4 linked regions of the Arabidopsis thaliana genome follow. The protein of the gene in region 4 interacts with the protein of the main gene of each other region in a pairwise test. Each region holds a gene or a part of one and is shown on either strand. Other genes may lie near its edges.

Region 1 (5,893 bases), on a different chromosome or scaffold from region 4:
TTTATGCTTCTTGATTTGTTGAATAATCTCTTAGAGCAACAAAACATTGGCCTTAAACCACACACACATTATCTTTAATTATATTCTGTCAGTACTTTATGCTTCTTAATTTGTAAGAATGCATTTTGTTTGTAATAAGTCTTTTAATTCGTTGCTAATCATTTTGGAATTAAAGCTTTAATTAATGGAACCAAAACTTTGGATCCCAAGTTGTATTGTATGAGACAGTTGTTTCTCACTTAAACAAGTCGTTGGGTTGTTGTTTCTTCAGTCTATTACACATATGTTTTTTTTTTTTTTTCTCAACTGCATTTCATTGAAAATATTAACAATAATCCTATAAACACACACAAAAAAAACAATCTACCTCTATATGTACGAGTACGATGCACTTTTGACTTGCGCGTAGAATAGTACGTTAACTTAAAAACATCACATGCAAATTTCTGTATAAATTGGGGTTTCATCTTTAGATCCAATCATTGATCCAAAGTACTTCCACAGTTCCACTACAAGTTGTTGGTTTCTATAATGCTAAAGAAAACTTATTGGAGCAAAATATATATCCGTTTTAGTTTATCGTGATCGACTGATTGTCAATTCGTAAAAGTAGTTATCTATCAAAGATAAGTAACGATGATTTTTCCTAAACAAGAAAATTTTCTTTTTATTTGATTAATTTTTTTCCAAGATATTATATATTGAGATTTGAGAACATGAAAAGATCACGAAGGACTTTGTGGAATGGACATAACATGTTGAGTAGCATACAGATGGATTCACTTTGGAGATGACCAAAAGTGTCAATAAAGATAAGAAAATAAATATATTTATCAAATATAAAATAATTTTACCTTACCTTAAAAAGAGTTTTTTCATTTATTATTTGCTATGAATGAGCCCTTTTGAAAGTTAAAGAGGTTAAAAAAATGGACTTTGATGCCAAAAAAAAAAAAAAATCTATGACAAAATTTTGTAATATCAAATGAAAAAGAAATTGCAACATAACAAATAAAAAAATAAGACAATAAAAAAATAAAAGAGGATGTGAAACCAAATCACTGGCACTGCAACTATTGGCCTAAAACTATTCACCCTTTCTGTTTTTCTTATTTATTTACATTCACTCCTCATATTTCCTAGATTCTCTCAGAGAAGCCCCTAATGTTTTAATAGTCACATTTCATCCCCAAGAAATCCAAAGACCTTCATACGAAGAACCTATATGAGTTACTTCATAAAAATTGAAATAACCGATGTATTCAGACCATTTTTTCTCTATAATCAAATGATTGAATATAAAACCAAATCAATATGTTGCCAAAAAAGAAACCAAATCAATATAAGCCAAAACTTGAAGAAGAAAGAAACTCTCTCTTCATAGCCTACGCATTCTCTTGGCTGGTGGAGAACTTTGATCAGAATCATCAAAAGACAATCGGCGTTTAGCGCCACTTCCTGAAGCCGGCGGTTCGCGAGAAACCGCTATTTCCGGTGGAGGTGTCATATGTTTCCTCTCCTCAATCTCTAGCGTTCTCTGATAACACAAATATACATTTTCCTACAAAACCCAACACTCCTAAGATTATGATCATCAACATCAAACAATCAAAATCGAATAAAAAGACACCAAGATTTATACATTCTCATTAGAAGTCCACCAAGAGATCGAACCAAACTTGTTAGCTATCTCTTCTCTAGTCAATCTAATATCCGATGAGGTAGAAGAAGAAGCTAGCAATGTAGTAACAGCAGCAACAACAAACTGTCGATACTCCGTAAAACTTATCTCTACATGGAAACAAAAATGTGATATCAATAAATGCTTTGATCTTGAGAAAAAAATGTGTTTCTTAATAGAGTTACCTTTAGTTAAAGCAAGAAGAGAATCAGAGGATCTTAACAACACCAAGTCTTTAGAAACAGAATGGTTGTCCTGAGAGATTTTAGCAAGGAAGTAGTTGAAGTAATGAAAAGGAGTGATCAAGTTCATCTTCCAGTCCAATGTGGATAGAATCAACAGTTCAGTTTTACGAATGACATCGGGTTTGAAAACGAAGTCATGATCTTGAGGGTATTGTGATAAACCAGGAACAATACGTTCCTCCATTTTAGCAGCTAATGATAAACAAGCTACTGATAACAATCGCATCGCCCATGTTTCATCTTTCTGCAACTACAAAGAAACCATCTTTAAGCTTTAATCTGAAGATAAAGGTGAGATTTTTATAGATAAATGAAACTGGAGATTGAAACTTACACCGATGAATCTTTTGTGGAGAAACAGATCGAAGTATGAGATTGCAATGTAAGCTGTTTGATGTTGGAACCCAAATCTTGTTCTTGTCTGAGATTAAGACAAAGAACCAATCAATCAGAGATTAAGACAAAGATCAAAAAAGGGAAAATCTTTTTGAGATTACGGACAGTGAGAATCCAATCGATGGCAATCAATCTATCGGAAGACGACGTCGTTTTAGAGGGTAGGGTTTCGAATCGGAGATTCTCTTTAAGAACAAGGTCTGCCACATAATCTTCATCATCGATCGTAGTAGTAAAGTGAGGTTCTTGCTTATCAGATCTCTCAATCGTCTCGTCGTCGTCTTCGTTTAGAGAAGACTCCGATTCGTGGCAGAGGAAGAGAGCGAGACTGTCTTTAGGCTCACCCATTTAACGGCGGCGATGATGATGAAGACGACGGCGGCGGCGGAGATAGAAGTGTTCTTCTTCTTCTGCTTCTGCTTCGGTGGTGTGTCCGTACACATCAAAAGGGGAATTATAAAGAATTTGTGAGAAGAGTGTTTTTTTTTTAATTTATGAGATGAGAGGCAAAGTTATCGCAGTGAATATAGGGGAAGAATAAGAAGGGAAGCTAAATCATCGTATTTGATTTTTCTTCCATTACTCGATTTGGGATTTTAGGAGCAAGTGACGAAAAAACAAAGAAAAAAGAGAGAGAGAGTGGAGAGAGAGAGAGAGTCTCCCGCGTCTGGTGCCGCCAAAAATAAGTGGGGGAGAGAGAGGGGGCGTTATTTAGCGGTTACATTTAAATTAAAAATCTTTATTATTTGATTAATTTTAGGTTTTATTTGTTCACTAATATTTGAGTATATGTATAATATCATCACTCTTTTTTTTTGGGTCGACAAATAATCACATTTTTTAAAGGAATGATTACTCTTTTATTTTTTTAATATCCAGCAGGATTACTTGTGTTTGAAGACTTTTTGATGCTAGTCAATTATGGGTTTTTTTTAATTTAACAAAATTGTTTTTATCTAATAGTATTGTATTTTCTTGAAAAAGATTTCTGCTATTTCCATTAAACTGTTTTGTATTTTGTTGATTATTTAAGTTTAAGCAAATTTATTTTAAAAAAACTTTTTTAATTTCGGAGTTGTCTATGATAATGTGAACTTTATTGATAAATTAAATGTTATTAATAGAAATAAATACTTAATGCAGGAATGGAGAGCGTTTAGAACTATTGTGGCTGTCTTAAATATATGAGATTTACACGTTTTAAGAACGTCCATATATAAATGTCATTGTTTTTACCTGTTGAACTTCCTTGATTACACTCTAGATTTCTTACATGAACAAAGTTCACGGATTCTGTTAAGAATGTTATCATCAAACTTTTTCTTCTATTTATTTGTTGTTTTGTACAAATGGAATTTTCTTTCGGTCTCTGAGATAAGATTTATAGGATCCTTTGAATTTGTATCAATCATTTAGTTAGGAAAGAATAATGATCCCATTGAAATTTATGTGCAGAAAGTTAAATCCCATTCCAAATACAACGTTCTTATTAACATTTCTCATTAGTGTATTCCACGTACCACCCCCTTTGTTGCTTTTGTAGTAACTTCTATTTTAAGAGGTTTGAATTAAAATGTACTTTATTCAAAATAGAATTGTGAACAGAAAACAGAGGAATAGCTAGTTTAGTTATTTCCCACTTATTGACTTCAATTAAATTCAGACCTAGAAATTCATTTTCAATGGAAGAAAATAAAGATCAAAAGAGCAATTTTGCAATAAGTTTTTTTTAGGAATTGGTGGGGGAAACACCATACCATTCCCACTAAAAAAAATCCTCTCAACTTTTTAATTTAGTTCCATATCATTATTTTTGCTAAGTCATATACAAATTTTCCTATAGTTCTATTGCAATTATTATTCAATTTTTCTTCTCCGTAAATCTTTTTGTTTCCTCACTTTTTATAGTTATATTCACGGTAACGAGTAATTAGGCCTACGAGTAATGACTTCCATGTTAGGTGAGAAAGTTGTATATGACTCATGTAGTAGATGTTACGAGACACGAAGATTGTGTATGAAAATTTATACAGTACGTAGATAAGAAGAGTAGATATACGTAAGCAAATTCACATAGATTGTAGGTAGAAATATAGACAAATACTGAATGAGTATATTTATTGTAAAAATAGGTAGGTCTCGTTAGCGGGTTCCAAAACCTTATCATGTGTTAAATTTTGATGTATACAAGAAAAATTGAAAGCAGAATCCGATGTATCGTAAACCATCCGAATTATAACTGATTATCCAATTGGATGAAAGTGGAATTATACTATACAATATGTAATATGTTAAGAAAAAAAAAGAACAACAATTTACTAATTTGTACTATAATTAGTCTTGAACAAACTTAAAATCAAATAAATATTTATTTATCCATCAGCAAATGAGGCTCCCATCTTTATATGTTTCTGGTCCCTTTTTTGACAAATTTTTTAAAAAATAAAAAGACTTGTATATATAGGCGCATGGCTTTGGAGCCGAGTCATTCAATATATAGGATAATTAATTTTTCTATTATAGTATTAATATTTATAAGACTAGATGTAAGAAAAGGGTATAAAACCAAGAAGACGCAAGATCCAAAATCTGCAACTTTTATGTGTATGTTAGTGAAGTATCAGCAGCATTTGTTCGATCTCCCCCCTAGATACAAGTAATATTCTCACATTACGTATTTTACAGATTATTTTTGTATTTCCTTTTTTTAACTTCTGACTTGTATTATTGTGCATTTCTATGTATATATATACAATGATTACATTATGTTACAAATTTTTTTCTGAGATGTTTGTATGTAGTCAAGATGAGGGACCAATTTCACAATAACTTGAAAAATGCATTTCATCATTTTAGAATTTAGATGATGTGATCTGCAATTGCCAAGATTGACCGAAATTAGTAACGATGATGATGAATTTGCAGGATATTTTTTTATCACTTCAAAACAAGTTTTGGGTCGTTAGGCTAACTCGCTTGGTGAATATCTATGTCTAATTTGTTTTTTTTGGTGAAACAAAATTATTTTTGTTTTCTCGTGCTTTTCTTTCTATGATTGTCTTCCCTTGTTGATAAGGAATCAAAGTCTTTTGTGGTCTATTTCACGCATTTAATAAAATTACTATTATGTGGAAAATAAAATGTAATATTGGTAACTAAATATGACATTACATATAGCAAATGAGACGAAAATAAATGCTCCTATTTGAACATAGTGAACTCTTAAGAGTTAAGAAGGGTTAACAGTCAGACATATAAAAAAAAAAAAGAGTTAGTAACCAAATATAATTTGATCACATTTTTAATGAACTAACAAATCTAGGATACCTAACACACGTTACACACAATATTTTCCAATCTACTTATGATTCCTTTCGAGGTGTGTATTAGTCTATTCATCCTCTAGCAAAAACAAAGAAACTCGGTCCCTCTGTTTCCACAAGAAGGTCTCTATGGACAAAAAAGACATAACACTATCAAATATCAATTGTGTATGATGTTGAATAATACATGAAAGAAATATGATATAATATATAAAAAAAAATTGATGGTGGAATGATGGCGCACGTGA
Region 2 (7,192 bases), on a different chromosome or scaffold from region 4:
TGTCTTAAAAAATATTAACAATCATCAAATAATTAATTGATATATGCAATTATTATTTGCAGGTTACCGTTATACGGAGAGATGAAAGTAGTCTTCTTCGTATATCTCTGGTACCCTAAAACAAAGGTAATATAATTTTTCCTTTTAAAAAGTGATTAGTTGGATCATAATTAATTAGTGGTTTATGGTGATGTACAAATAATAATAACGAAATAAATAATGAATGAAGGGAACGAGACATGTGTATGAAACATTGTTGAAGCCATACATGGCTCAACACGAGACAGAGATTGACAGAAAGATCATGGAGTTGCGAGCTCGAGCTTGGGACTTTTTCATCTTTTACTTCAACAACTTCGCCCAGGTCCTTTTTTAAATTATCTTTCTATTACTTATATATACAAATTGTTCTTTTTAAAGGTTTGACTAAATTATTATAAGATTAACAACATACATATAATGTTGATGCACAGGCCGGTCAATCCACCTTGATCCAGGGTTTTCAGTACGTACTCGCCCAATCGGTCCGGTTCTCTGCCGCTGCAGCTAACCAACCGGTACTTTTCTATCGCTTTTGATTTTCGTTTTATGTACTAATGCAAACACAATCTTGTGTTTATTACCTCCCTTTTGCACTTTTGAATTTTTGTGTTTGTGCTAAAGCCAACGGAGAGGAACGTGAACATGAACGCGCAGTCACCGGTGGAGATGGACAATGATCCTCCATCACCGCGCGCTCCAAGACCGCTGAACAAATCACTATCTGCGTTGCGATCGCTAGAGAAGCAAACAAGCAGAGGGAGGAAGTGGCCGCCACCAACACCACCACCAACACCAGGCCGAGACTCCGCCGGAACATTTAACGGTGATGATGGAGTCAACATTCCTGATACAATTCCGGGATCACCCCTCACTGATGCTCGAGCTAAGCTGCGACGTTCTAACTCCAGAACTCAGCCAGCGGCATAGTAACGCAAACGTACATATACGTGACTCGACAAAGAAACCCTTTTCGTTTGTTTAAAGATATATAGGGAAAGAAAAGTGAATGAAAGTTTTGAATTGAAACAAAACAGATTTTTTTTTTTTTTTCATGTTTTCTGTAAATTGAAGCAGTAAGTATTAATACAGCGAGAATATTTGTGTTTGTTTTCGTTTAAACTTCCCGCTTTAATCCGGATATTGATTTGAGTTTGGATTTCTTCATATAGCTGATTATAAAGATGCATTTGAGTGGTCAAAAATATTATAATCAAATAGTGTACCAATGCAGCCGATGAAGTACATTCTCTGTTAAACTTACATTAGTTTCTCGGTGCTCCTCTACAACATCACTCTAGGCGATAAATGAATCATAATCTAATGGTACATTGTATGGAACGCACCTGCCATTGGTTCATACACGTTCTGTAGTTGCTCCCTCCTTGTATATGATTTTAGGGAGTGTTGTGAGGTAACACATTTGGGATCAGAAGTTGAGAAGTGTGCTTGGTATTCGATCATCTCGGGGTTGAGTCAACAGCTGTTGGTGCTATTTCGCCCATTCCTGGTGGTGGAGTACTCACGTCGGCTATTCCATAATCCCAATCGATACCAGCTTTTGCTAGAGTTAAGGATTGCGTATTTATATCTTATGCAGATAGATATAGTTAACTATAAGAGAGAAACAAATTGCATATATGCAAAGGATACAGTCAGTTTTCCAAATATCCGTCATGCTAATCTCAGCATTTGAGAGAAGCCAGTAGTCCGACTCATCATTCTGCAAAATACAAGACCAATATCAAACAACAATTATGAGGGTAGATTTTGAGTCAGGTTAATTAGTTTCTCTGCACAACTTCCTATTTCTATGTTCATTATAAAAATAAGCAGGAAGATGGCTTACTTCAACATCAGAGGGAGTAATCTTAAGCATTCCTCCTACTTGCTCTTGCAAATAATTAAGATCAGAGGTATCGCCGGGTTGAGGATGAGGATGATCATGAGACACAATAGCAGTTTCTGGGTTGTCAACAGTTAAGGCTTCGATGTCATGGTGTCCTGTAGATCCTGAGCTAGAAGCAATAGGCAAGCATGCTGGTGGTGCTGCACCACTCCCATTTGTGTCTTCGAATTTCCCTTCAAATTCGCTGAACATGAAGACAAAGTAAAAGCATGTAAACGGGACAATGAATGTTCCAAATCATAGAAATCTTTGTTTTGATACGTTCAATTATATGTATACCATCATCAGTAGAGTATATGAAGTCACGGAAAATGCCAATAACAATGTTTCTATTATTTGAAGCCAACGCATAAATACCTGACGAGGTATACGTCAATAGGTCCCATTGTACTTCTAAGAATGATCCTGTATCTCCTTTGTGGGTGGTCAGCCGCCTGTCAAGTAAAGAAGAAACATTATAATAACGTTTTGGAATCTAACAAAGAATGGCAGATGTCATCCAAGGTCGCTGAAAAAGACTAACTTCATCTGGATCAGGCACTTCCAAAGTTGTGCCATGAGGAGCTTTGACGGCTATCAGAGTCTGGTTCTGCAGAAACAGCAAAGAGAGAGTTAAGATATAAGTGAACAAGAAAGTCTTGGGATCGACATACATACAATCAATTGATCAAATTCCTAGGATTAAACATATGAAATAGGAAAGACAGACCTGGAAACCTGGTAAACTCTTGATATCCTCTTCAGTTACAAAAAGCCATCTGGACAATGTGAACGGATTGGTTAAGTGTCCATCATATAAATAGCACCATCTCATAGCCAGAACAAACTAGCCATACGAAAAGATAGATAGACAGAGATTTATACTTCTGATTCTTTTCATTTTCGCTCAGGTCTCTTAATCTTTCCTCTGTTTGTCTGAATAAAAGTTGTTAAAGCGTCAGCATTGGTTAAATAGATTAATCACAATAACCCAAAACTCTTTAAATGAATGCTTACCTGATTTGGTTGTCTAATGCTTGCTCTTCGAGGGCGAGGTTTTCAATTTCTGCCTGCAGCTACAAAACAAGAACATTAATCAAAGGAAGCGAGAACTACATGATATTTTAAGATTTACATGCACAATGACTTTTGAGTGTATGCTGTTTCACTACACCTGTAATACAGATACGTCAGCATCCTCATCGCCAGGACACGCATCAACTCCCCTAATCAAGTTTATTGATCATCAAGTGAGTTTACATGTAGTTAAATGCTTTCAGTAATATCCCAATGAAGCAGGATATGCTTTCAGTACAAAATACATAAGCATACTATATCATAAAAATCCTCACTTCCAAAGTATTCGATTCTTGAAAGGCTTTTCAATGAGATCTATCCCCTCCAAAACGTTTGTAATATCATATATACGTCGTTTCTGCACCTCCAATGTTTCTGCAGCTTTGTTTAGGTCCAGCATTCCATCTTTGGCTTGTTTAATTAGATTGACGAACTTTTTTGTAAGGAGACCTGAACAGCTTTTATGTCAGCATCTTCATATACACTATAACATGTATCGAATATTAAATATATATGTGAAAAGTTGTTAATTACCTAAAGAACTGTCATAACGACAACTTCCTGATGGAGTAAGTGTGATAGGAGAACCTGCAAGTTGACCAGGAAAGTAATCAGCTCTTCGACTTACTTGTTACTCTAGACATGAAAGATATTTCATAAAAGGATCTAACTATATAGAAAGGCCAAAAGGGGTAGAGAGTCAAGAATACAATTCTTCTTACCAGCGTTTGTCGAGATGGGTGTTTGAGGAGTTGACTTGTTTCCTTTGGCCTTTGACTTGATGTTGACTCTGCCCCCTTTTCTAGGAGTTTGACAGGGACTGCTAGGTATGTTAGTGAAACCAGAACTCGTGAATCCATTATTAGATGGAGCAACAACCATATCCATTGTCGCCTTTCTCTTTCGTGACTGCATATAAACAAGTTGTTATTAGCTTAAAGAAGTTGGTCAAAGAAATATCATCCAAAAGGTTTTAAAGCATCCACACACAAATTATCTATATCATTCCTCATAAACTTTCACAACATTGGGATCTACTTGAAACATTATACATTAACAAACAATGTCAAGCTTCATACACCAATACTTTGATATCAATAAGCTAATGCTCAACACTATGTGAACATTCAACACCTCACGCAACAATCAGAGCCAATTTGGCATGGCAATTGGAGAAATTGATGTCTGATTTGCGTCAATTGGGTGTAATTGAAACGCAGTGTTATGAGCAAAATGTACCATCGCGAAGCTAAACAAACGACAAAAATTGACACGAATCGACGATAATCTAACGCTGCGAAGCTTTTGAATCAGACTTAGAAGCAACAAGTAGCAATCGAAATCCCCAAAACATCCTCGAATTTCTAAACCAATCTCACTGGGGAAAATCTCTAAATCGAAGAATCAAAAGCACCCAAAACTCACAGGAGATCTAACAACGACAGCATCTTCCTCCCGATCTACAACACCACAACCATGAACGAAGCTCCTGTCGTTATTATTACTGAGCGAAGAAGGGTTAAATCGATGGTAATCATCGGAAGGATGAAACGGAGGTTTTGTTGAGGCGAAAGCTAAGTGACGACGTATAGGTGGTATAACCGGCGTAGATGTAACCGGAACCGGAGATGACGGTGGATGGTGCGGCGGCGGCGGTGGCGGCTGAGAAGAACCGGGAGAAGATCGTACGACACCGGACATGGATCGTAGTGAAGCGAGAGTCGAATTTGAAGATTCCGATGACGGGAAAAGCGACGGCGAGTGAAGGAAACAAGGGTTTTAGTGAGAGAAAGAGGAAGAAGAAAAGAAAAGGAGAGAGCAGAAAACGAGGGAAGGAGGGAATTTTATGTTGGGATAGATGTGGAGGGAAGCCTATAGCAATAATAAATAAAATGTTAAGGAAATAAATATATACTTTTTTTTCTTTCTATTTGTGCCCCGGGATTTTGTATTTAGTTTTAGATTGACCCTACTTACTTTAGGGAAATTACTTTTTGTGCCTTTTAGTAACGGGAATATTGAGATTCTTTTCTGTTCTTTATAATGGTGAAGAAGAGGAGATCATGCATATATATTTTTGATCTAGAACTTGTTTTTTGAATCTGAAATTTTTATTTAAATGTGTGTAGTCGGTAAACAGATTTCTGCAAATAGATTGGGATAGAGTTTGTTTATAGTACATGTGCTGCTGTTTCCGTTATGATATGTGTAATAATATTTTTATTTTTATTTTTTATCCTTTTGTATTGATTAGTGGTTGTTGTATCATGTATGGCAGTGGAAAAACTGATGCGAAGTGTAGATTAAGTCTAAAGTCACTTGATGAAGGATTCATAATTCAATTCAGTATTTGGAGGACTATAATATTGCACATGATTGATGTCATTAATTAGTATTAACGACAAATGAGTGATAGAAAATAGTTAGAAAGGGTAAATAGAAATTGGTAAAGACCTAGATTGGCAAAGTTTTCGTACCGCTTTTTTCTTGTCCTGCGCCGTTAGCTTATTACAGGTCACAAGAAAAATGGTTCACTTAGAGAGTGTGAGGCATTGTTGTATTGTAGTACCTTAAGTTCATTCATGTTCATTACGAGTGTACCCCATTTGAGCCGAGAGAATGTAAAGTCGTTATCAAGTTGAAGCCCAATAAAAACGGATTTAAGGCCCAAAAAAAGAAGGAGAACGGAAACAGAGAATCCGATCATAGACCACTGGCATTTCACGAACCATCAAAGGGACTAAAAGCTCTAGAACCAATTCTCCCTGTTAAGACTTAAGACCAATAACTAAACCGTTACGCTAATCAGTTCACACATTCATCATCTTGCCTCCAATTGTAGAATCACAATTCTCTGCAAATCGCAACTCTACACGGTTTCTGGACTTACATACACTTGATTTCTCGTTCACTAACAATAACTAGACCGAAATACATCGGAATCGTGAATTGTAAATGAACATTCTTTCTCTTATCAAGATTTAACTCACCATCCCTGTGTGTGTCTCAAAATGTAGGCAGAGGCTGGTTTCTTCATTCATTGAGTTCTTCATCATCATTCATTACAAAAATGTACCTAAAAACAAAGCAAACCCCATCAATTCTCACCAATTCTCCAACTCCATTAAACAAAAAAACAACAACAAAAAGCAAGAAACTCTCACTCACTTGCTTCCATGTTCTCCTAGCACACAAAACTCTATAAATCAAGAATCTTTTTGTACAGTAACAAGGCGAGAGGTCTTCAATGGCGGAGAAGAATCACAACATACCTCCAATGTATCTCTAAAACCAGCTTCATTAGTCTTCAACATCACCGGCAATGGAAACCTCACACCTTTCGCAGCACAAGCTTCATGTCTCGGTTTAATCCGATTCTCCAAACTAAACGAGAAATACTGAGGAAACTCAAGAACCTCTCTAACATCTCTCCCCATCTCCACCATCAAATACTTCAACTTCGGCTCATAATTCTCAGCAATACTGTAATTAAACAGCTGCGGGAATCTCTTAAACATCGCGGTGGCGCTCCGCCGCGAGAATCCTAACTTCTCGAAGTAATCAATCCGTGGTACGAGTTTATTGTCAACGCTACAAGAGAGAAGATACGTATGTTTATGCGGATCTAAGATTCCGATTCTCTGGAGAAAGTAAAGCGTTGGTCTAAGCTGGTGATCGACGCTACAAGCGAGAAGACGAGGACGACGTCGTAAAGCTTGACGGAGGTCAAAGATAGAGTCAACGCCGACTTCACGGAGGAGGAAAGTGATGACTGGGATTGTGTGTGAGGTTAAAGGTGAAGTGAGAAGCTCTGGACACATTGAGACGAGGCGGCGAAAGTCTTGTAAAGTGAAGTTTATTGGTGGAGTGGTCATGTAATCGACGACTGATTCAACGGCGGAGAGAGCGGTGGAGAGGAGAGGTGGATGACGGTTGATTAGGGTTAGGAAATCGATTCCGAGTGAATCGAGGTAAATGAGTTTCTCGTGGATTGAGGATTCTAGGGTTTCGGTGGTTGTTGTTGTTGTTGTGGTGGAGGAGAGAGAGGGTATATCTGGGGATTTGAAGAATGATGAAGATGATGATGAAGTGTTTGGTTTGAAGGAAAGTGCGGGAAAATTGTTGAAGCGGAGGCGAGAAAGAGAGGGAAAATTGTGGTGAAGGGAAGGGAGAGAGGACGAGAGGAAA
Region 3 (5,412 bases), on a different chromosome or scaffold from region 4:
TCGGTGATTGAGGGCCTACGTGAACTCACTCGGCTTCGAGTATTAGATTTGAGTTACAACCGAATACTGAGACTTGGTCATGGTATGGCCCGACCTTTGCTCATCGACATTTCCTAGTTATCTGCTTTTATATGAAAACCATGTTTGATGTATTTCCCTTTTTCTTATTTCTTGTTGACTTAGGTCTGGCTTCGTGCTCCTCTCTGAAAGAACTATACCTAGCTGGGAACAAAATCAGCGAAATCGAGGGTCTTCATCGACTTTTGAAATTGACGGTCCTGGATTTACGCTTCAATAAGTTTTCAACCACCAAATGTCTTGGCCAGCTCGCTGCAAATTACAGTTCTCTTCAGGCTATAAGCTTGGAAGGTAACCCTGCACAGAAGAATGTTGGTGATGAACAACTGAGAAAGTACCTTTTGGGACTTCTGCCAAATTTGGTATACTATAATAGACAAGGCACTAAAGATGCTCGGCTCGGGACAAGCACACATCAGTTGGACCGAGGCCTTAGATCAGAGCTCAAAAACAGTAGCCGGAAGAGTAGCCATGGTGCATCCAGTTCTCACAAACCTGGATCCTCCACAGCTCGTAAAGCACCAGCATTGCAGAAACGGTCCAAGGAGAGACGCAGCCGTCTTCCACCTGTGGGACACAAACTATCTCCAGCTGCTTACGAGAATTATCACGTTGCTACTGGTGATAGATTGTCTAGTCTGAGAACTGAGCTCTCCATGCGAAGAAGTCGAAGTGAAGGAACTCTCGGACCTATCTGATCTCTCTCTCTCCCTCTTTCATTGCCTGCGATTTCCTTAGCGAGGTAACGATGAAGATGTGATAGATACACACTTTCTTCCCTTTATTCATCTTCTTCATCTTTGTGTTTTGTTGTTGTGCATTACATACATCAGAAGCTTTGATTCTTATAGCTTCTCAATAATGTCTGAAATTGGAAACCATGGTATACATTCTTTTCAGCACAGTCTGAGTCTTGCAATTGTTTTCATTAAGTAATGGGCTTGAATGGATCTTGTATATCACAATCTTGGGCCGTTATGATGCTAGTGGGCCTAATATGGGTTAGTGCAAGGGATTCATTTACAGTAAGAACAAAAGCAATTGAATGATTTAAAGACTGTGTAAAGTGGTCCAAAGAGTATCATATTGCCTGCCTGCAACAGAGATTCTGGCAACTGGATCCATATAAGTCGGATAACGAAGTCTCATAAGACAAAATCTTATTCCTGAAAATTGAATTCATTGTTATCTCGTGACCACATTTGTTCATTAATAAATAACATAACCATAGGGTTATATACACTACACAAGAACAATATTTATTGATTATTCCCCCCAAGTGAAACAACTTAACTCCACAAGCCAAAACTGTAAATACAGAACATGATTGATAGGTAGATAGATAGATAAATACTACAGACTGGTAATTTGTTTTTCTTTTGAATTTTTTGAGTTTTGTGTTGTGGTCCAAAGGAACAAGCAACGGAACAGAACCCGAGACTTTGTCTTTGATCATTCATCACTCTCTTGTCTTCCAGGAAGAGAGAAATGGTTTATTTTTGAAGCAGAAGAAGATGGATGGAGATAAGGGGAAAGGAAGCAAGTGTCATTTTCATAAGGGGACCAGAAGTGGTTTTTGAAGTAGCTAAGTGATTGATTTCATCTGACGATTATGTTTGACCATTAACCACCTTTTTCAGCTTAGTAACGACGAGTACTAGTTTTCCTCCTCTTAGGTGAAGAAGAAGCTGTGATTGTGATGCTCTTATCGCTTTCACAACTCGAGAATTGCTGATCAAGCACATTTACTGCTGTTTCAGTGCTTCCTTCGTTTTCTCCAACTATAATATCTCTCTCTTGTATTGCTTTGTAACACTCCATTAACTCATCCTGCAACCACGGTTTAATGCTCGCTTAGTACCGCGATGAAAAAAAAGCTCGATTTGAGATGGTTTACTTGTTCAAGACTTCTTTACCTTATTTACATATGTGCATTGGTTGATTCTGTTACTGAAACATGGAAACTGTAGAGGACAGAGCTCGAAAGAAGCAAAGAGAAGTGCCGCGCCTGCAATCACCGATGGTTTAAACTCGAGGAAACTGATATCTGCAGCGTTTTCAAACAGATTTTAGCATATTGTGATTATGTGATTGAAGAAAAGCAATTCTGTATTTACCATGTTGAAGACTGAAAGTAAGATCACTGGTTTGAGATTTGAGGGAATGTTTTAGTAGTAAAGGATCTTCTTCTTTGAGCTCAAAGAGACTAATGAAAAAGGCCAAAAAGGAGAAAGGAGTAACAGAGCGCATCCTCCATTTAAGAGCTCCTAGAATCACATTCTCCATTCTCTCTATCATCTGAGCATCAAAAAACTCACCTTCCACCTGAAAAAAATCCAATGTTCAGACACTTATCAACACTTTAAAACACATTCACATTATAAAGATTCATGAGTTTTAAGTTACCGGAAGATCAGAAACAGACATGTCTGGTTTCCTCATTTTTGCAGACAAAGAGACACAAGAGAGAGATATGAGCTTAAGAATCCAGGGCTTTGACTGCTGTTGACAAAACAATTTAGTCAAAACTCAGATGAAACAAAGGACAGATTCTGTCGGAAGATTCTGTTTTTACCGGCATATCTTCGCTAGACAAGAACCTGTCTAGATAATTCACAGCAAGATACGTCAGAGATGGGTCGTCGAATTTTCTTGAATACTGCGATTGTTCAGTTACAAATTAAAATAAAGTTAAGTCTTTCGATAACGATTCAGTATTCAGAACTAAACCCAGAAAATAATTTTGGTTAAAAAGACCTGAGTGATTGAAGAAATGGCTTGGTTTCGATTAGAGAGAAGAAAAGCAGAGGACTTGAGGCTATGGAAGTAATGAGAAGAAGGCATGTGTTGAAACTCGACGAGGAAGAGAGAGTGTGGTAAAGTTTCATAGTCTGTGTCGTCGTTGAAGTTATTGTGGAGTGAAGAATGTGAGAGAGGATGTTCAAGATGAAACTCCATTGATTGATGATAGACTCTTCTTAAGCTTCCTTCTTTCTTGAATTGGTGTTAGAAGATGAAGAAGAAGAGAGAGGGACAGAGAGACATTAAAAGAGAGAAGTTGTCTTTATTGTGAGATAGAGAGAGATGGTTTTCGGTCTTTTGAGAGATTTTCCACATTTATTTATTACTACCACTTTGGTTATTTTTTTATTCGATTTTTTCTCATTGATAGTAAGAATTAAGATTTTATCAAAGATAATCAAATCTTTTTCAAGAGATTCTTCTTTTGCAATATTAGAAGGAAAAAAAATCCAATATTCTCTCTTAAATTCTCTATAATCCTCTGTTTTTAATTAAGTGTAGTTCAATAATTTTTTATTTTTTTCAATATAAATGTTGTTTTCACTTTTCTATGCAAACATTAAATGTATTTAATAGTTTTTAACCAATTATATTTTGCATCATATTTTTTTATTGGTTGGATTAGTTGTAATTAATGGTGTTTTTATAAGAAATAGATAAATTAAATGAGATTTGTATGTTTTCTTAATTTGTATGCAAAAACCTTAAACTACAAATATTCATAAACAGAGCCGTTTGTATTAAAAATTTATAACCGTAAATTATTACTTAGTTGTTTAAAAAATATGTAATACACTAATACGTGTAATGTTTTTATTAGATTTTATTACAAATTAAGTCAATAATTCAATAAATAAATAAAATTGCATTTTAGTATTAATATCAAGTACCAAACAATTAAAAAATCATATTGAAAAAAAAACCAGCATAATATATATAGATATTACATTTTGTTTGAGTTTTAGATCATGTAAATTTAGTATCATGCTAAAAAAAAGTTCTTCTATGAATTTTGTGTGTGTTAAAGTTCTTTCATGAATTTGGTAAGACCCAACTTTAAAATATACTAAGGCTGGGGAGATTAAATATGATAATAACATATACTATCGTTAAACCATTTTATTTACCACATAAAGTTGTCATTTACTCATAAATAGAGCTGATGTAATGTACAGTTTTATGTATCAAAAGATTCGTCACTTTGGAATCTCGTCCAAACAGTTACAAACATTGATTAACTTTAGAAATCTTTTTAAGTCTTTGTTTTGTTTTTAATCATCATTGTATCACACATTTTAAATTACTAATTAGGTTGTGACAGCTTGGTTTTCCTTGTCCTTAAGTCTTTGTACTTACCTTTTGTTAGGTTTTGAAATTCCCAACATATATATTCAGATTATTTTTTTTAAGTCAATAAAGAAAAATTGAGAAGTCAATGAACAAACTGCCATGTGAAAACGCCATTTGAACAAACTTTTTGTTTTTATTTTTTTACTTTGATCTTTTACTGCCAAAGCCTGACTGGTCTATTTTTAGACGGAAAAGAAAACATTAATTTTATGTAGAAAATGTGAAATGCAAAGGCCTTTGAAACTCTAGATATGAACGAAATGAAAGAAAACATTGACTGACCTAACAAACATAAGAATTTATATGCTTGTAACGTAAGAAAAAACAGCTTATTAGTTTTTGGGGGTATTAGTATTTGTCCAAAAAAAATGTTTTGGGAGTATTAGCTAATAAACAACAGAAAAGTGTTGATAATAATATAGTTTCTTGTTTTTTAAACAATATAATAGTAATATGTTTCATAGAGAAAGAGTGACAATTTTTTGTTTCTTTTTAACAAATGCCAGATTTTGAACCACTTTAAAGAATAAAAAAATATTAGATATTTATTGCAAAAGAAGTAATTGAATCAAAAAACTTTTAAATAGTGGAAATATATACCCTAAATTGGAAATAAAAACCCCAAATATAATACTACAAACTAATTTTAAAATGAAAAATCTCTTTTAAATGGTGAAAATATATACCCTAAATTGGAAATAGGAAACCCAAATATAATACCATAAACTAATATTAAAAGGAATCAAAATTTTTTTTAAATAGTTAAAATATATACCCTAAATTGGAAATAGAGAACCCAAATATAATATTTTAAATTTATTTCTAACTTATTTTGGTTGAATAGATTTTATATAAAATTGTGGTATTATTATTGTCCATAAAATTGTGGTATTATTATTTGAGTGCTATTTATGTCTAAAAAACCTTTTAATGCTATTTTTATCCAAAAAACTTAAAAGTGTGCTATTTGTAGGAATTTCTCATTATAAAATGGGTACTAGTGAAGATTGAACAAATATATCACCTAAATTCTCAAACCAACCTACTTTGTTTGAACTTTAAAATGATACTTCTTTTGCTCTGTTTTTATTTTCTTACTTTCTTCCATAGATACATTACTACTTTGGCTTTAAATGGATACTAAAAAAGCGACTAAACTATAAGCGAATTACTCTATTAAAT
Region 4 (6,270 bases):
GCCTAGTCCCTATACAACAAGATCACTGCTTCCCAATGAATATTAATCACAAATTGACAATATGAATATGATCAACCACTGATTAAGACACTCACGTGTACATATATTTGAATTATTATTGGTTCATAGTCATGGAAAAATGTTTAGAGTGAGAATTTAGTGCAATTATAATTAAACATTAAATGTGTTTTCTTTAGAAAAATTAGTTTTTTCTTCGGTCAGTGTTATATCATAAATTTAAGTTTATTGAAGATAATTTTTTTTTATCAGTTTAAGGTTCGAAGGAATTTAACGTCAATAGATATTAGACATGGATGAGGTCAAAAGATGGCTTCTCGTTTGATATTTTTTTATGGTAACTACTTTGTAGAAAAGCATTACGAAACGCAATTCTAGAAATTAAAGTCATTACTGTATATACCTCTCCATTAGTGATTATAGTCAAGGAAAGGAAAAAAGGAAAGAGCTATATTAATGTATATGCCTGGAAGACTTGAAAATTAGATATCTATTATAGATAGTTTAATATTAGGTAAGTATGAAAGAGAAAAAAATTAAAATCATAAATTTCCTTTTTCATTTTGTTTAATTTACTAAATATGTCATTGTCTCAAAACACTATTTATTACCGGATATTTTAGACATGATACTGTTCATCAACTGCCTGAAGACACTATTCATCCGAAATTTACGACACTGTCGTATTTATCATTGGATTGCATAAAATATTTATGATTTATGTGGATAACTATTTGATTAACATGTTAACTAGTATAGTATCGTGCTAAATATATATAACTATTTGATTAATATGTTAACTAGTATAGTATCACGATAAATTTTTATATATCGTATTAAACCATTTACCATATCATACAAATTAATATGAAATAATCAATTTAACTTTATAATAACATGTTATACTGAATATAACGTGCTAACATATTAAATATCTGAATAATATTTATATTAATATGGTAAGATAGTTGATATATAGTGAAATTATAACAATAGTTGATACATGACATATTTGGTAAATTAAACAAAGTAAGAACTAAGAAGGACATTTATGGCTTTAAATTTTTTCTCTTTGATAGTTAACTAATATTGAATTATCAATGGTAAAAATCTAATTTTGAAATCTTCTGGGCATATCCATTGATATTTTCCAAAAGAAATGAAACATCATCTTCTCAAGTGAATCCTTCAGGACCCATCACTCTCCTCATTTTACCAGGAGGAGACAGTACCGCTGGGCTATTTCCATGTTGGTTTTGCTCGGAGGCCTTTGGTTCGAGTGCGTCTCCTTTGGAAGCTGGAATCTGAAGCTTCCCTGGCTCAGTTGGTGATGGAGAAGACGAGAAATACCTGATGAAAAAACCAATGATAATCAGAGTGATGAAACAGAATTTTTGTCCCGTGGGTTTCTTTTTCAAGAGTATACCTGTGGTCTAAAGCTTGTTGTATTGTGATCCTTTGACGTGGGTCGTAGATGAACATTTTTGCTAGAAGATCCAAAGCGTCATCACTTGCCATAGGGAAAATGGTACGTAATGGTGGAGCGGGTGTATAGGAGAATTCCATGTAGTCTGGGAGATAGATCATGTCAGACCATTGGGAAGGTACTGGAGTACCAAACGCTTGAAAGATCTTTCCAAGTTGATCAATCTCAGTAGAACCCTGAAGAAAGTATAGGAAATGTTTAGAGAACTACAGACTTTTTAAACATGAAGTACGAAGGGTATAGAGCATTACCGGAAGAAATGGTCTACGAAGTAGTAACTCAGCAAAAATACAGCCTGCAGCCCAAACATCAACTCCTGCTCCATACTGTCGACTCCCAAACAGTAACTCAGGCGCTCTGTACCATGTAGCAAATACCTGTGTGAATAAGTATAACCAATTTAAACTTAACGAATCTTCCACAAGCAGATACAAATAGCTAACCAAATGAGATATCTACACAAGTTACACAACCAATAAATCTCAGAATCTTTCTAAAGTAACAATGTTAATACATCCGTAAGTAACAAAACTGTATCTGGTGACTTTGAACCATCAATCTCTCATCTCACCAAAATCGAAAAACACAGGTATGCAAGAATCAAAATTAAAACCGTATGATGTCTTCTTAATACTCTGTATCAATTTTTCCATATCCAGCAAAAAGAGACTTCTACAGAACTAATCAATTGCAGAATCTTCTTGAGTCAAAATGTTAATATGACCGTAATCAACAAAATGCTATCCGGAAACTTAAACTTGTAATCACCAACCGAAACCAATAACATAGGTATGCAAGCATTCGAATTAAAAACATAGTATGTCTTCTCAATGCACTATATATACTCTTAGTTTGTCCCAGCAAAAAAAAACCAATAGATCATCAAGAACAAGACTAATCTACCTGTCAATTCAAACAAAAAATAGAAGAGATTTCTTCATAACTAATCAATCTCAGAATCTTCTAGGGTAAAAAAATGTCAATACAATCTTTCACCTCACCAAAACCAAACACACATAAAGTATGATATCTTCTCAATACTCTGTACCGACTCTTCATTTTGAGCATAAAATTCAAAATAGATCATCAAGAAGAAGTACCAAGATATTTACTACAAACTCCAGACTAATCTAGCTACCAATGCAACCATAAATATCAATAACTATATAAATACCTAACCAATAAATCCAATAAGATCATCAAGAACTACACTAACCTAGCTACCAAGCTCAAAACCGTATCAATCATAGCATCAATACCTGATGAGTAAACCTCCGATTCGGACTCCCAAACAACCTCGCCAAACCAAAATCAGCCAACTTCAACAAACCATTCTCTCCAATCAACAAATTATTCGGCTTCATATCCCTAACAACCACACCAAAAACAAACCATCAACACAATCAAAATCAAATCTTTATAAACCTAAGCATAACTTCTTACCTGTGAAGAACCCATTTCTTATGACAATAAGCTAAACCCTTCAAAGTCATCAACATATAAGACTTAATATCACCAGGAGATAAAAAGATATTACGATCACGAATCACTGCTTCTAAATCTGTTTGCATATACTCAAAAACTAGATGCAAACTTCCATCGTGAGGGAAAGCATCAATGAGTTCAACGATATGTGGATGATTCAGCTCTTTTAGTAGCTTGATTTCTCTTAAAGCTGTGAAATTTACTCCTTCCTTTTGGTTTCCTAATCTTATCTTCTTCACTGCTACAGTTTTCCCAGTCTAAGGAAATCACAAAATCGAAGATTGTTGAGTTTGAAAATCTTGATGAAATTGAAAACGAAATCGGGAAGGGTTTTTGATTTTACCTTTGTGTCGGTGGCTTTGTAAACGACACCGTATGTTCCTTCTCCGAGGATTTGACGGCGGAGGTATCTATCAACTGGTTGATTATCGCCGGATTTCGACATTGGGTTTAGATTCTCCGGTACACTTCGAGGAAGTACGAGGGCTCCTAGTGAAACACTTTTAAGAAATTGAATTCTTTGGTTTCAATTTTATACCCGTAAGATTTTGTGTTTTATGAAACGAACCTTATATTTATGAAATAATCAGAAACAGCCATATGATACTGTGGATAGCATAAATATGCTAACACTCGTGATTTGTTTGCAGGAAGTGATTCTACATGATCATCAGACCCTAGATAATTTAACCCTCCACCTCGAACTATTGATGATTAATCTTATCGAGTAGAAAATAATACACAATATAAATATCAAAGTAGCTATTTTTTACAAATTTACCATTTACCTAAAAAAAATATAAAATAATTTTACGAAATCCAAAATAATAGGTAATATAATTCTTATTCGTTATTGTCAAGTATAGGAATATATTATGTATTATTAGGTATTTAAAAACAACAATCTGTTTATTATAAAATATCGTATTTATTCAAAACATATAGGGCTTACTGGGCTTAGCCGAACACGGCTTTTATAATGTTATTGAGTTTAGTAATTAGATCTGTATTAATAAAAGTTTGAATAAAATATTTTTTAATATTTTAAAAGATATTTTCTTTTAACAAAACAAACATTTTTTTTTTTTCAAAGTAATCGAAATGGAGCCGTTTTTAACTATCTTTCGGTTTACCACAGAGTAAAATCGTTAGGCGAGAAATTGTAATGTGTACTACTTTTTTTTTTTTTTTTTTTTTGGTGAATAAATGCGGACTCATATTTTTGGCAGAACAACTGTGAAACGGTCCTAAAAAAATCACGGACTCATGTTTTTTTGGTGAAAGAATTATGGTTGATGATGATGATAATCATCATCATCAATGCTAACTATGACCATTTAACGGCACTTTTTTCAACAAATGATGAAGATCAAATGTCGCTTTGTACCTTGAGAAAATCTAGGGAAGTTATTCTACACCTATTACCAAATTCCAACCATCAGAACTCAGAATCTTGTTTGGCAACTGTTGGCTTTGCTTCGATTTAAAAAACCTTTGCCCAAAACATAAACATACAAAAATGTCAAGAATCACTTCCCTAAAGCCTCTAGAATTAAGTACAACAAACAGCATATAATGCTTTTGAAAGACAGAAAAGCAAAGCGCAACATCTGTGGAGACAATAGTTCTCAATTCTCATCCACTTTTCTTCAACTAGACTTGGTATAAGGATCATGATTCCTCAGGTTTTGGTTCTACTGACTGATCAGGTAAAACCTGAGCTTCACCATTGACATTAGGTTGTTGTTCATCAGATTGTTCAGGAGGAGCGGCAGTAGCAGCAGTCTGCTCTTCTTCTGGATGAAAATCTATAGGAAATTTAGTAACTCTAGGTTTGTCGGAAAGTATGTTCCTCTGAACTTTATCAATCAAAACCTTAGTTGGAGGCTCTTCCTTGAGTTGCTCATCCTCATAATCATTGTTCACGTAATATCCAACTCTCAAGAACTCTTGACCCATGTAAGAACATGTCAACAATAGCACAGTAACACCGATGATGTCTTCCTCCTGAATCTTTGATGGATCCGGAGGATCAGCCTGTAACAGTAGTAATAGAGAGTTAGACCAAGACTTTGTTGGTGCTTGGAAGAGGTAGTAGTGCATATGTTACCTGAAATACAAAGCGGTAGTTGCCAACATTAACAGGCCCTACAAGCACACTCTCTAGAAGTTGATCATAAGTCTCATCTTCTGCTGAGCCTACATAGATAAGCTTCCATTCCAAATCTGTACCACAAGCAAAAGCACGGGTCTATCTAAGTTATCCTCACCCTATAACAATGTTAACCAAGAACTTGTGCATAGATAAATCCAACTAATAGACAACAAGACTCTAGATTATCAATTAGAAAACAAACCATTAGAGCATGACTCTGACAAAGCAATTAGGTAACAATATGTTCCAATTACAATCAGCAGCAACAAATTGGTGTTGAAAACAATCCATAAGAATCAGCAGAGACTAAAACCTAAATAAAGTCGAGATGAATTACAATTCAGGGGAAGGAGAAAGAGGAGATTTTTACCGTCTTTGAGAGAATTCAAACACTCGTAAGAAATCTCGAACTGAAAAGGGCTAACAAAAGGAGCAGGATTATGCAATACAGCGACGTTGGTGATTTTGATTGCACTCATTATCTCTAATCAACAACCAAGTCGGAGAAAAACCCTAGGTTTCAATAAACTTCATCCAAACTCGGGAGAGAGAGAGACCCAGATGAAAAAGTTTCTCCCTTTTCAAAAAATTCGAAAGCAGATAATTCAAGAGAAGAGAGAAGAAGGAAGAGCTAGGGTTTTTTTTCCCCAGGAGAGAATTAATCAAAGAAGAAGCTTCAGAGTTTTTTTTTTTTTTTTTTTTTGATTAAGAAGACGATGAAAATGTTTTCAATTTTGGGGATGGCTTTCTTATAACCGGTTGTCGTTGGAATGGTGACCGGCTACTACCGGTTAAGTTGAATTGGCGGGAGGAATACTTTAACTCACGAAATGCAGCAGGGAAATTTGCTAAATATTTGATAATTTTAGTGTCCAACACATAAATACGAAAAAAATATAGAATTCAATCGATTAGTGACACAAATAAGAGATTACCAATCATATCCTATATACTTTTTTTTTTTTCTATCTTTCAATATTTTGTTACCAGTGTTACCATTTGTGTTTACGACATCAAAAAAGAAAAAGTGACGCACATAGATAATATATACAGATGGGTTAAATATTCACATAGTTCTAGGTAGAAATATTTACACATTCTACCTACAGATTAAAAACCACAAAAA

What was found.
Region 1: the proteins of CAK4 (region 4) and CYCD5;1 interact in a protein complementation assay, tested with the Arabidopsis thaliana proteins (one large-scale study listed by BioGRID).
Region 2: the proteins of CAK4 (region 4) and E2F3 interact in a protein complementation assay, tested with the Arabidopsis thaliana proteins (one large-scale study listed by BioGRID).
Region 3: the proteins of CAK4 (region 4) and CYCD6;1 interact in a protein complementation assay, tested with the Arabidopsis thaliana proteins (one large-scale study listed by BioGRID).

What each region holds. Positions count from the first base shown.
Region 1 is NC_003075.7:17,676,274-17,682,166, reverse strand, and holds CYCD5;1 (cyclin d5;1), read right to left. Parts: upstream 3,000-5,893; 5' UTR 2,671-2,999; coding exon 2,428-2,670; intron 2,348-2,427; coding exon 2,261-2,347; intron 2,177-2,260; coding exon 1,867-2,176; intron 1,792-1,866; coding exon 1,643-1,791; coding exon of another isoform or gene 1,637-1,642; exon of another isoform or gene 1,562-1,636; coding exon 1,379-1,561; 3' UTR 903-1,378; downstream 1-902.
Region 2 is NC_003071.7:15,117,201-15,124,392, reverse strand, and holds E2F3 (E2F transcription factor 3), read right to left. Parts: upstream 4,805-7,192; 5' UTR 4,706-4,804; coding exon 4,430-4,705; intron 4,394-4,429; coding exon 4,244-4,393; intron 3,914-4,243; coding exon 3,727-3,913; intron 3,675-3,726; coding exon 3,633-3,674; intron 3,593-3,632; coding exon of another isoform or gene 3,539-3,592; intron 3,455-3,538; coding exon 3,280-3,454; intron 3,154-3,279; coding exon 3,102-3,153; intron 3,004-3,101; coding exon 2,945-3,003; intron 2,864-2,944; coding exon of another isoform or gene 2,813-2,863; intron 2,707-2,812; coding exon 2,658-2,706; intron 2,538-2,657; coding exon 2,472-2,537; intron 2,383-2,471; coding exon 2,306-2,382; intron 2,133-2,305; coding exon 1,889-2,132; intron 1,763-1,888; coding exon 1,693-1,762; intron 1,598-1,692; coding exon 1,500-1,597; 3' UTR 1,209-1,499; downstream 1-1,208. Other genes in the region: HVA22J (HVA22-like protein J), read left to right, coding at 63-126, 230-364, 474-557, 664-969; EMB3114 (Mitochondrial transcription termination factor family protein), read right to left, coding at 6,211-7,192. UniProt on the Arabidopsis thaliana protein: Transcription activator that binds DNA cooperatively with DP proteins through the E2 recognition site, 5'-TTTC[CG]CGC-3' found in the promoter region of a number of genes whose products are involved in cell cycle regulation or in DNA replication.
Region 3 is NC_003075.7:1,430,656-1,436,067, forward strand, and holds CYCD6;1 (Cyclin D6;1), read right to left. Parts: upstream 3,207-5,412; 5' UTR 3,037-3,206; coding exon 2,836-3,036; intron 2,738-2,835; coding exon 2,654-2,737; intron 2,581-2,653; coding exon 2,485-2,580; intron 2,404-2,484; coding exon 2,196-2,403; intron 2,126-2,195; coding exon 1,995-2,125; exon of another isoform or gene 1,909-1,994; coding exon 1,720-1,908; 3' UTR 1,189-1,719; downstream 1-1,188. Other genes in the region: AT4G03260 (Outer arm dynein light chain 1 protein), read left to right, coding at 1-82, 184-776.
Region 4 is NC_003070.9:24,891,939-24,898,208, reverse strand, and holds CAK4 (CDK-activating kinase 4), read right to left. Parts: upstream 3,687-6,270; 5' UTR 3,435-3,686; coding exon 3,333-3,434; intron 3,247-3,332; coding exon 2,948-3,246; intron 2,873-2,947; coding exon 2,764-2,872; intron 1,882-2,763; coding exon 1,756-1,881; intron 1,681-1,755; coding exon 1,445-1,680; intron 1,369-1,444; coding exon 1,194-1,368; 3' UTR 950-1,193; downstream 1-949. Other genes in the region: SGA2 (ASF1 like histone chaperone), read right to left, coding at 4,661-5,026, 5,100-5,215, 5,515-5,623.